2 linked regions of the Coturnix japonica genome follow. Each later gene encodes a partner of the first gene's protein in a complex. Links are inferred from orthologs where the notes say so. Each region holds a gene or a part of one and is shown in the gene's direction. Other genes may lie near its edges.

Region 1 (4,429 bases):
TTCCTGAGTGGTACTGTGGTTCAGTTTGGTTTTAGGGTATATATTGTGTGTAGAAAATACATGGAGATGGATTAAGAAACTGGTTATAGCTGAGTCCAGAGCTGGGCTGGATTCCCTCTCTTGGTGCCCAGGTTTCATTTAGCAGCCTGACTCACAGAGGAGAGCCCAGGGTGTCCCCACAGGGCGAGACACAGCCTTGTCCAGCAGCTCCACACGGCCTTGTGGGCACGCTGAGCTCTTGTCACTGCTGGTGACCTCTGGCTCTTGCAGGTAACTGAAGAGGAGGAGGACTCTGGCGCACCGCCTCTGAAGAGATTTTGTGCTGATCAGAACTCTGTGTGCCACACAGCCTCGGAGAGCTAGCCTGCCCATCCCCGGGGAGAGCCTTCGCCAGACCCTCGCAGAGCTGCCTGCCCTTCCCTGGGGAATGGGGTGCTTCCCTTGTCCTGCCCTTCCCGAGGGACAGGGCACCCCTGCTGCCTCGCCATCCAGCCTGCCCTGCCCTCGGGGGCAGGAGCCTCCCACCAGCCCCTGCAGAGGCAGCCTGCAAGTGATTTGCCCAGCTGAATGGGGCTGCCACCAGTACCTGCAAATTTGCCTCTATTTATTGGCTCCCACCCTCCCTGCTGATCTGTGCTGTAGTGGCATGGGGTTTCTGGTGCGTGGTCTGCATGCGTGGGGGGAGGGATCCTTGGGATGCCCTGTTCTCTGTCACCCCTAACGCACCGGCAGATGCTGTTTGCCTGCTTCTGGATCCACTGTCTGCCCTGTCCCCTGTGCTGGGAACAGAAGAGCCATGTCCCACCTGCAGAAAGTGATGTGTCCGCTCCCTTGTGACCACAGTCTGGGGCGTTCCTGGTGTAGGTCCAAAGGGCAGAGGAGGGAGGGGGGGGAGCGCCCTGAGAATGGAAACAACGGCCCTCCGTGCCGCTGGGACACTGTGCAATAAGCTGCTACTAAGCCATTAGTATTGGAAGAGGGAGGAGTGCTGCCATTTCGGAGGGCAGGTACTGGACACATCGGCCCTGCCTGCTGCTCCTCTGCCTCCAGGCCCTCACAGAAGCCTCTGTCCGCCCCAGACAGGCAGGGGCTGGGATGGAGCGGGGCAGCCGGCACTGCCGTGTCCCAGCTGGACCTGCACCCTGCTCCTCCTGCCCGCCCCGCTCCCCAGGTACATCCCGTCCCCTGGACAGGACACAGGGTGCAGGAGCCCCATGGAGCCCTCCCATGCCCCCATTCCCACGCTCCCCACCCCGCTGGGCCCCCCCCCACCGCCACTGCATGTCCTGCCGTCTGTGATCGAGCCTGGCGAAGCTGAAGGTGCGGCTGCGCGTGGAAGTGGAAAGATATTTTAGCACTGAATAGAATATTTTTAAAATTAAACTATTTGAAATACAGTGCTCAGTGACTGCAGGTGCGTGGGCTACAGCAGCTGGGGCAGGAGCTCAGAGCAGGCGCTGGGCAGCACCGGGCTGAGCCGGGCTGGAGTTTCCTGCTCCAGGCCTGAGCTCGGTGCCAGCTCTCGGGCCCGGTGCTCAGCACGGTGTGGGCCGGGCACCGGGACTTTGCTTTGCACGGGGTCTGTTCCCTGGTGGCTGGTTGGGCTGGAGGCTGCAGGGCCCCGCCATGGACAGCTGGGCTCCTCTGGGCTGCATCCCTGTGAGCTGCCCCTGGATCTGGTGGTCACACACAGCCACAGTCCTGTAGCAGAACGTCTGGTGTGTGTTAAAGCCACAAGTCCCGCTGCGATGCCGGGGGAGCGGCCCTGTGTGCAGCCCATGTCGGGGCACAGCTCAGGGCAGACACAAAGAGCCGCAGGGGGAGCTGCCCTGGGCACCCTGACTGCACTGCACGGGCCCTGGGTTTCCACCTCAGCCTTTCCTTATGGGAGAGAGCCCACACCGAGGTTAATTAACACCACGTGCCCACAGGTATCTTTGTGGCAGCCTTTGATTCATCTCTGTGCATTGCAAAAAATGATTCTTATTTTCCGGTTTATTAAATGGAGCGTATAAATCTAAGCCAAAGGTGCAGCTCCCTCTGTGCGACCGTCACGTGTGTTTCACAGCAGCACTTGCTGTGTGTTCTGCCCCAGTCCGGGGCCGCTCAGCACGTGGTTGTTGTGTGTATCCGGGCAGAGCTGAACCGAGGGCCCACAACGTGGAGGGGGCTCAGGGCGGCTCTGAGGGGTCACAGCGCAGGAACACGAAGCTGTGGGGGTCGCTGAGGTTTGGCTGGATGCGGCCATGCATTGCCAGGCGGGCACATCATTGAAACGTGTGGGAACTTCTGAAGAGTGTGTGACCGTGCAGAGCAGCTCAGAGCACCACGGCTGAACTGGTCGGACTTGAGATAACGTCTCTTTTCCCGTTCAGAACATCGCTGCTCGGCTTCGTTAAGGCGGCTGCGTTAAGACGTTCTGCTGCCGCTGCTCCCCTCTCCTTTCCCGCCGCCCATCGCCCCCGTCCGGTACCGCACTCGGTTCCGCTCCGCTCGTTACCCGGCTCCGCTCCCGGCCGCGCTCTGCTCCCCGCTGCCGCCAGGGGGCGCTGCCGCCGCCCCGCGTCCCTGGTGACGGGATGGCGGCGCCGCTGTGGAGCGCGGAGGCGGGCGGCGGCGTGTACCGCTCCCGGGACCCGGTGCGCAACCTGCGGCTGCGGTGAGCGCCCGGCACGCACGGCCCCGGCTGCGGCTCCGTCCGCGCTCGCTCTCACGATGTCTCCGTCCTTCCCCGCAGGGTCCACATCCAGCGGGTATCGGCCGCCGGGCCCGTCCCGCCGCAGGCCGCGCTGTCCCCGAGCGGCGGCCCCGAGGGGCTGGGGCTGAGCGCCCGAACCGGGCACGGGGCTGCGGGGCGACCCCCGGCCGAGGAGGAGAGCGCCGAGCTGGGATGGCAGCAGAAGCTCTTCAGCCAGGTGCGAACCGCCGCCGGGCAGCGCCGTGTCCGTTCCGTGTCCGTGTCCGTGTCCGTGTCCGTGTCCGTGTCCGGGTCCGTGTCCATGTCCGTGTCCGGGTCCGTGTCCGTTCCGTGTCCGTGTCCCCGCCGCTCACCGGGCCGGGAACTTCTGTGGCCCGGCCGTGGTGAATCAACGCGGCTTTTAACTGTGCCCGTGACGTTCAGTTCGAGGTGGATCTGTACCGACACGAGTCAGCCTGCCAGACTCCGCTGGACCGGCAGTACCACGAGGAGATCCTGAAGCTGGACAGAGCCGGAGGGCGCAAGAACCGCCGCATCTTCACCTACACCGATCACGACCGGTTCACCAACATGGAGGAGGTACCGGCCCGTGGTTCTGCACAGAGCAGCGTCCGTCTGTCGGCAGCACCGGGACCAGCACGGGGCACGTTCGTTGTTTTGTGGCCGTGGTGCAGCGTGCCCGGCGCTGCTCTGCACTGTGTGCTACAGAACGACGGCTCCGTACTGCAGAGCGACGGGCAGGAGCAGCTGGGATGGAGGCACTTGGCTCGGCAGGGTTGTGTTGTTAGTGAAGTTCACAGCTGGCACATGGCTGTGAATAAATATCCCTTATACTTGCATGTACAAATACTTATTCTGGCTTCCAGGGGCAGAATTGCATTTGAGAGAAAAGTCCTGTTGTCATGAAGCGAGTTCTGTTCTGTGTCTCTGTTCCAGCACGGCCAGAAGGTGACTGACTCAGACTGTGAGGTGCCCTCGTACCTGGCGGAGAGGATGGCCAATGTGAGGAGGAGAAGACAGGACCGTAAACCGCTGTGAGTTCAGACTGAGGCTCAGAACTGGCTGATGTGGGTGTCGTGGTGTCCGTGCTGCAGGGCAGCCTGTTCTGTGGGAGCTGTTGGCTTGAGCTGTGCTGGACTCAGGTCTGGCAGTTTGACTCTTGTTTGGTGGGTCTGTGCCCGGCTGCTGGTGCGAGTTCTGCTGACCGTGAGTTGTGCTGTTCTGTGACTGGCAGAGATGGGAGTTCTCTCAAGTCAAAAATCATCACCTGGGAGCCCTCGGAAGAGTTCATAAAGAACAATCACGTGATTAACACTCCTGTTCAGACGATGTACATCATGGCGGACTTGGGACCTTATGGGAAGTAAGTAAAATCCTGAAGCGATCCTGATTTCCCAGAAGCAAACCCATCTCCTTTCTCAAATCTGCCGCTTCTCTCTTCAACTGAGGGAATTCCAAGTGTAACTCCAGCTGCTCTTTCTGCTTCTTTGGGAGGTACTGAGTGTGTCCCTCCAAAAGGTTTTTTAAACCAATGTAGGGCTGTATGGGTGTATCTGTGCCTTTCTGTACCCCCTGTTCCAGAACAAGTGTGTGCTCTATTGAGACTCGCTTTGTGTTTCTTGATGTCTTCCATTAGGCTCGGACAGAAGGAATACGAACACGTTCTTTGTACAGTCAAGGTGGATGGCAATGGGGTGATCACAGTGAAGCCTGACTTTACTGGCACCAAAG
Region 2 (4,200 bases), on another chromosome or scaffold:
GGGCTGAAGGCTCGAGCCTCCGCCGAAGGAAGATGCTCCAGACCAGCAACTACAGCTTGGTGCTGTTCCTGCAGTTTCTGCTGCTCTTCTATGACCTGTTTGTCAATTCCTTCTCGGAGCTGCTTCGCACGGCCCCCGCTGTCCAGCTTGTCCTCTTCATGTGAGCAGCAGGGCAGGAGGGCTGGGCTCTCCCATACCGCTCTCTCCTCTCTCTCACTGCGTCTCTCTTCTCCCACAGCATCCAGGACATTGCCATTCTCTTCAATGTCATCATCATTTTCCTCATGTTCTTCAATACCTTTGTCTTCCAAGCTGGACTGGTCAACCTCCTCTTCCACAAGTTCAAGGGCACCATCCTTCTGTCGGCAGCGTACCTGGCACTCAGCATCTCCTTCCACATCTGGATCATGGTAGGTTTGAGGCTGCTGGCTTCGCAGCTCCTTTCTCCCTTCTGTCCCTCTGTGCTGTGGGAGGAAGGCCATAATCTCCTACTTGTAGCTATCGGGCTGCCTCATCCCAGCCCCCAGCCTCAGCACTGCAACCTGCTTGAAAACCCACACAGAAAACCTTGCACAGAAACCCACCACAGCAGAGTGGTCCCCAGTGAAGGCCATGACAGCAGATCCTGCTTTGTTTACCTGGGATTAATCCCCAGCAATCACCAGCGCTCAGAGGCTGGAGTGCTGAAACCCTGCTGAAAAACAAGTCCCAAGGGTCCCTGCTGTGTCCAAGCAGCTTTGTACCCCCTCTTCCCCATCTCAGCTCCCCCCATCCTGTGCCACAGTCACCATTTGACAAGCAAAGCAGCCAGCAGGTGCTTCCTGTATGCTTTTCAACAGGAGAAAGGCCCATCCTGCTGCCCCTGGGCCAGGTCTGTGACTGAAGCTGACCCAGGGATGTTGTACCCACAGCGTCTGGGCAGGAGATTGATGGGGATTTGCAGGGATCTAAAGTCTGAAGCTAGAATAGGTCCTGACTCGCTGGCCAAATCCCCTGAGCTGCTTAATCTTTGGAGCTGCCACCAAGAGCACGACAGCCCTTGTGGGGCCAGCTCCGTCCCATCGGGATCATCAGTGATCCCATGGGTTCAGTGAAGCCCATGGGTTCTTCCTTGTTTCCGTCTGTGTCAGAACCTGCGCTGGAGGGATTCCAGCCGCTTCATCTGGACCGAAGGCCTGCAGACACTGTTTGTTTTCCAGCGGCTGGGTAAGGGCTCGTGCTTACTGAGGCAGCAGGAACCTGCCTGGGGGACACCCCAGCTTAGTCCCTGTGCCCTCATCTCCCTCCCTCCTGCAGCGGCCGTGCTCTACTGCTACTTCTACAAGAGGACTGCAGTGCACCTGGGTGACCCGCTCTTCTACCAGGACTCGCTCTGGCTACGCAAGGAGTTTGCTCACTTCCGTGGTTGATGGCCCCCACTGCAGGAGGGGCAGCTCCTCATAGCCAGGGGATGGAAGGTCTCAGCCCCCCCAGCTCCAGCCCAGCTGTGTTCCTCCTCTTCCTGGTGGTGCCCTGGGAGCTGGCAGGGTGCTCACAGCTCACAGCCCCTGGTGGGATTGGGGCGTTTTTGTGAGTAGTGAGGAAATAAATTGTCTGTATTTTCCAGTCCGTGTGTGCTGGCTCTCTCCTCTTTTATCACGCAGCTTCTCGGTGTCCCACTACTCAGGGCTGTTCCCATTGGGTTGCCCCCCCCGGGGGTCCGCAGGCACAGCGAGGGGCGGAATGGGGGATTCGAACCCGCGGCTCGGTCCTCCAGGGCCATAGAGAGGGCGGGATAGAGCGGCCGAGCGCTTTCCCTCCTGCAGCCGCGGTTCCCATGGAGATGGAAGATGGCGGCGCGGAGTGAGTGCGGGGCCGGGAGCGGGGGGCGGCGGGGCCGGGGGCGGAACGTGAGGCGGGCGGCGGGGCCTCGCCCATCCCATCCCATCCCATCCCGCGACCCCCACAGGCCGCCAGCGCTCCTCGGCTCCGCTGCAGGTCCTGCTCTTCCTCAACGGCTGGTACAGCGCGACCTACTTCGTTCTGGAGGCCTTCATCTTCGCCTACAAGGGTGAGCCCCCGCCCTCCCGCTCCTCCGCCCCCCGCCCCCAGCGCTGAGCGTGGCCGTGCCCGCAGTGCTGCTGCTGCCGTACCCGCTCACCAACCTGCTGCTGGACGTGCTGCTGCTGCTGCTCTACCTCAGCATTGAGGCCACGCGCATCTTCTTTGGTGAGGCCTTGTCCCTCTATCCCGCACCCCGTTTCCCGGTGTCACACTGTGTGGTGCAGCCTTGCACTGCTCACCCTGTGCCCCGCAGGTTCCAAGGGCAACCTGTGCCAGCGCAAGGGGCCTCTGGCCGTCTGCCTGGCCCTGACTGTGCCAGCAGCCATCATGGCGATCTACTGCCTGCTGCTGCAGACCTATGCCCTGCGCCTGGAGGCCATCCTCAGTGCCATCCTCCTGCTCTTCTACTCTATGGAGCTGCTGCTGGGCGGCCTGGCGCTCGCCTCCTTCTCTAGGTAGGTGGCGTGGGAGCAGAGGGAGCTCTGGGGGTTCTCCTGTCCAACCCCCTGCTAAAGAAGGTTTGCTAGAGGGCATTACAAAGGAGAGCACCCGGGTGGCCCCACCACCTCTCTGGGCAAGCTCCTTCCAGTGCTCTATTACCCTCAAAGTCAAGAAGTTTTTCCTTGTGTTTCCTATTGTTGGTTCCCTACTGCCCCTTCTTGTTACTACCACCAGGCACCTCTAAAAAGAGCGTGCCCCCACCCTCTTGACCCCTACACTTCAGATCAGATCCCCTCTCAGCCTTGTCTTCTCCAGGCAGAACAGGCTCAGAGCTGTCAGCCTTTCCTTGTAAGGGAAGTGCTCCAAGCTTCAACCATCTCTGCAGCACTCCAGCAGGTTCCTATTTACCCAGAGCCAAGGAAACCAGAACTGGTCCCAGCGCTCCAGATGTGGCAGAGCAGAGAATAAGGAGAACCTCTGTTGCCCTGCTGGCCACACTCTGCACAATGCACCCCATGGTCCTGTTGGGCTTCTTGGCTGTAAGAACACTGCTAGCATATGGACAACCATTGGTCAACCAGGACACCTGTTGGCATTCTTGGCCACAAAGGCTGGTTCATGGCCAACCCATAATCCACCAGGACACCCAAATCCTCTGCAGATCCCCTTTCTGTCAGCTCAGCCCTTAACCTGCACTGATGTATGCAGTTACTCCTCCCCAGGTGTAGGACGCTGCGCCTTGTTGAACCTCATCAAGTTCATCCCCCACCCAAATCTCAGCCTGCCCAGGTCTCACTGAGAAGCAGCACAGCCTTCTGCTGGTTGAGCCTCTCCTCACACATCCTCTCCTCTGTTCTTTGCAGCATGGATGCATACTGAGGCCCTGCACCAGAGGACCACAGCAGCGCAGGTACACGAGATGGCAGCAAGCAGGTGGCACAGGCTCCATCTCCAGCCTGTGGTGGTGAGCCAGACCCACACTGGCACCTGTGGGCAGTGCCAGGGCTGTGCCTGGGTAGCACCCACCCTGCTGCCACCCAGCCCCGAGGTTTGTGACACACAGGTCAGTCCAAGGTACAGACAATTTGTTTTTTTTACAGCGTTGTAAGAAGAAATCACTATTTTCCAATAAATAGTTATTTTTATCTGGTGCCTGGGCACGTGGCATCCCCCCAGGCCAGAGCACCTCATTACCACAGCCAGCCCCTGAGCCAGCATGGGAGGCACAGCAGCCCTTAGGAAGAGCTGGAAGATTGGGGGTGGGGGGGCGTTACAGAAGTGCTTGGCTCTTGCTGCCCATCCACACCTTCATCCCCTGAACATCCCCACCAGAATCTCTTGAAAAGCTCCATATAAAAGACTGACAACGTCATCAAGTTTATTACACAACTTCCAACCTATCAGAAAGACAAACAAACCTAAGTCACTGCGGGCAGAGGGGGGCAGCGCCTCGCCGGGTGCTTAATAGAGGTTCCTCTCTGCACTTTTCCCCCCCACACTAATTGGAAAGAAACTATAAATTTGTGTTGTTACGTAAAAAAAAAAGCCAACAAAAACAGAACTCACCCACCAAATGCTTCCCCCCAGTGCTCACCTGATGGTACTTGATGGAATTCATTGTGTGATTGTAGCCTAACAAAGACCTGTGGAGCTGGGTTTTTCTCCTGTCCAGCAACAGTTCTGAAGGTAATGCCACCCAGCTGGCATCCCTGGGGG

What was found.
Region 2: MKS1 (region 1) and TMEM216 share a complex: the UniProt entries of both Homo sapiens proteins name them as parts of the tectonic-like complex. The link is inferred for Coturnix japonica from reciprocal best matches to the Homo sapiens genes MKS1 and TMEM216.

What each region holds. Positions count from the first base shown.
Region 1 is NC_029534.1:119,349-123,777, reverse strand, and holds the start of MKS1 (Meckel syndrome type 1 protein), read left to right. Parts: upstream 1-1,516; 5' UTR 1,517-2,579; coding exon 2,580-2,659; intron 2,660-2,737; coding exon 2,738-2,915; intron 2,916-3,121; coding exon 3,122-3,277; intron 3,278-3,634; coding exon 3,635-3,732; intron 3,733-3,932; coding exon 3,933-4,061; intron 4,062-4,334; coding exon 4,335-4,429. Other genes in the region: BCL7B (B-cell CLL/lymphoma 7 protein family member B), read left to right, coding at 271-363. UniProt on the Homo sapiens protein: Component of the tectonic-like complex, a complex localized at the transition zone of primary cilia and acting as a barrier that prevents diffusion of transmembrane proteins between the cilia and plasma membranes.
Region 2 is NC_029520.1:292,361-296,560, forward strand, and holds TMEM216 (transmembrane protein 216), read left to right. Parts: upstream 1-1,716; 5' UTR 1,717-1,829; coding exon 1,830-1,842; intron 1,843-1,948; coding exon 1,949-2,050; intron 2,051-2,115; coding exon 2,116-2,208; intron 2,209-2,296; coding exon 2,297-2,498; intron 2,499-3,347; coding exon 3,348-3,363; 3' UTR 3,364-3,634; downstream 3,635-4,200. Other genes in the region: TMEM138 (transmembrane protein 138), read left to right, coding at 33-160, 239-410, 1,131-1,206, 1,297-1,409. UniProt on the Homo sapiens protein: Part of the tectonic-like complex which is required for tissue-specific ciliogenesis and may regulate ciliary membrane composition.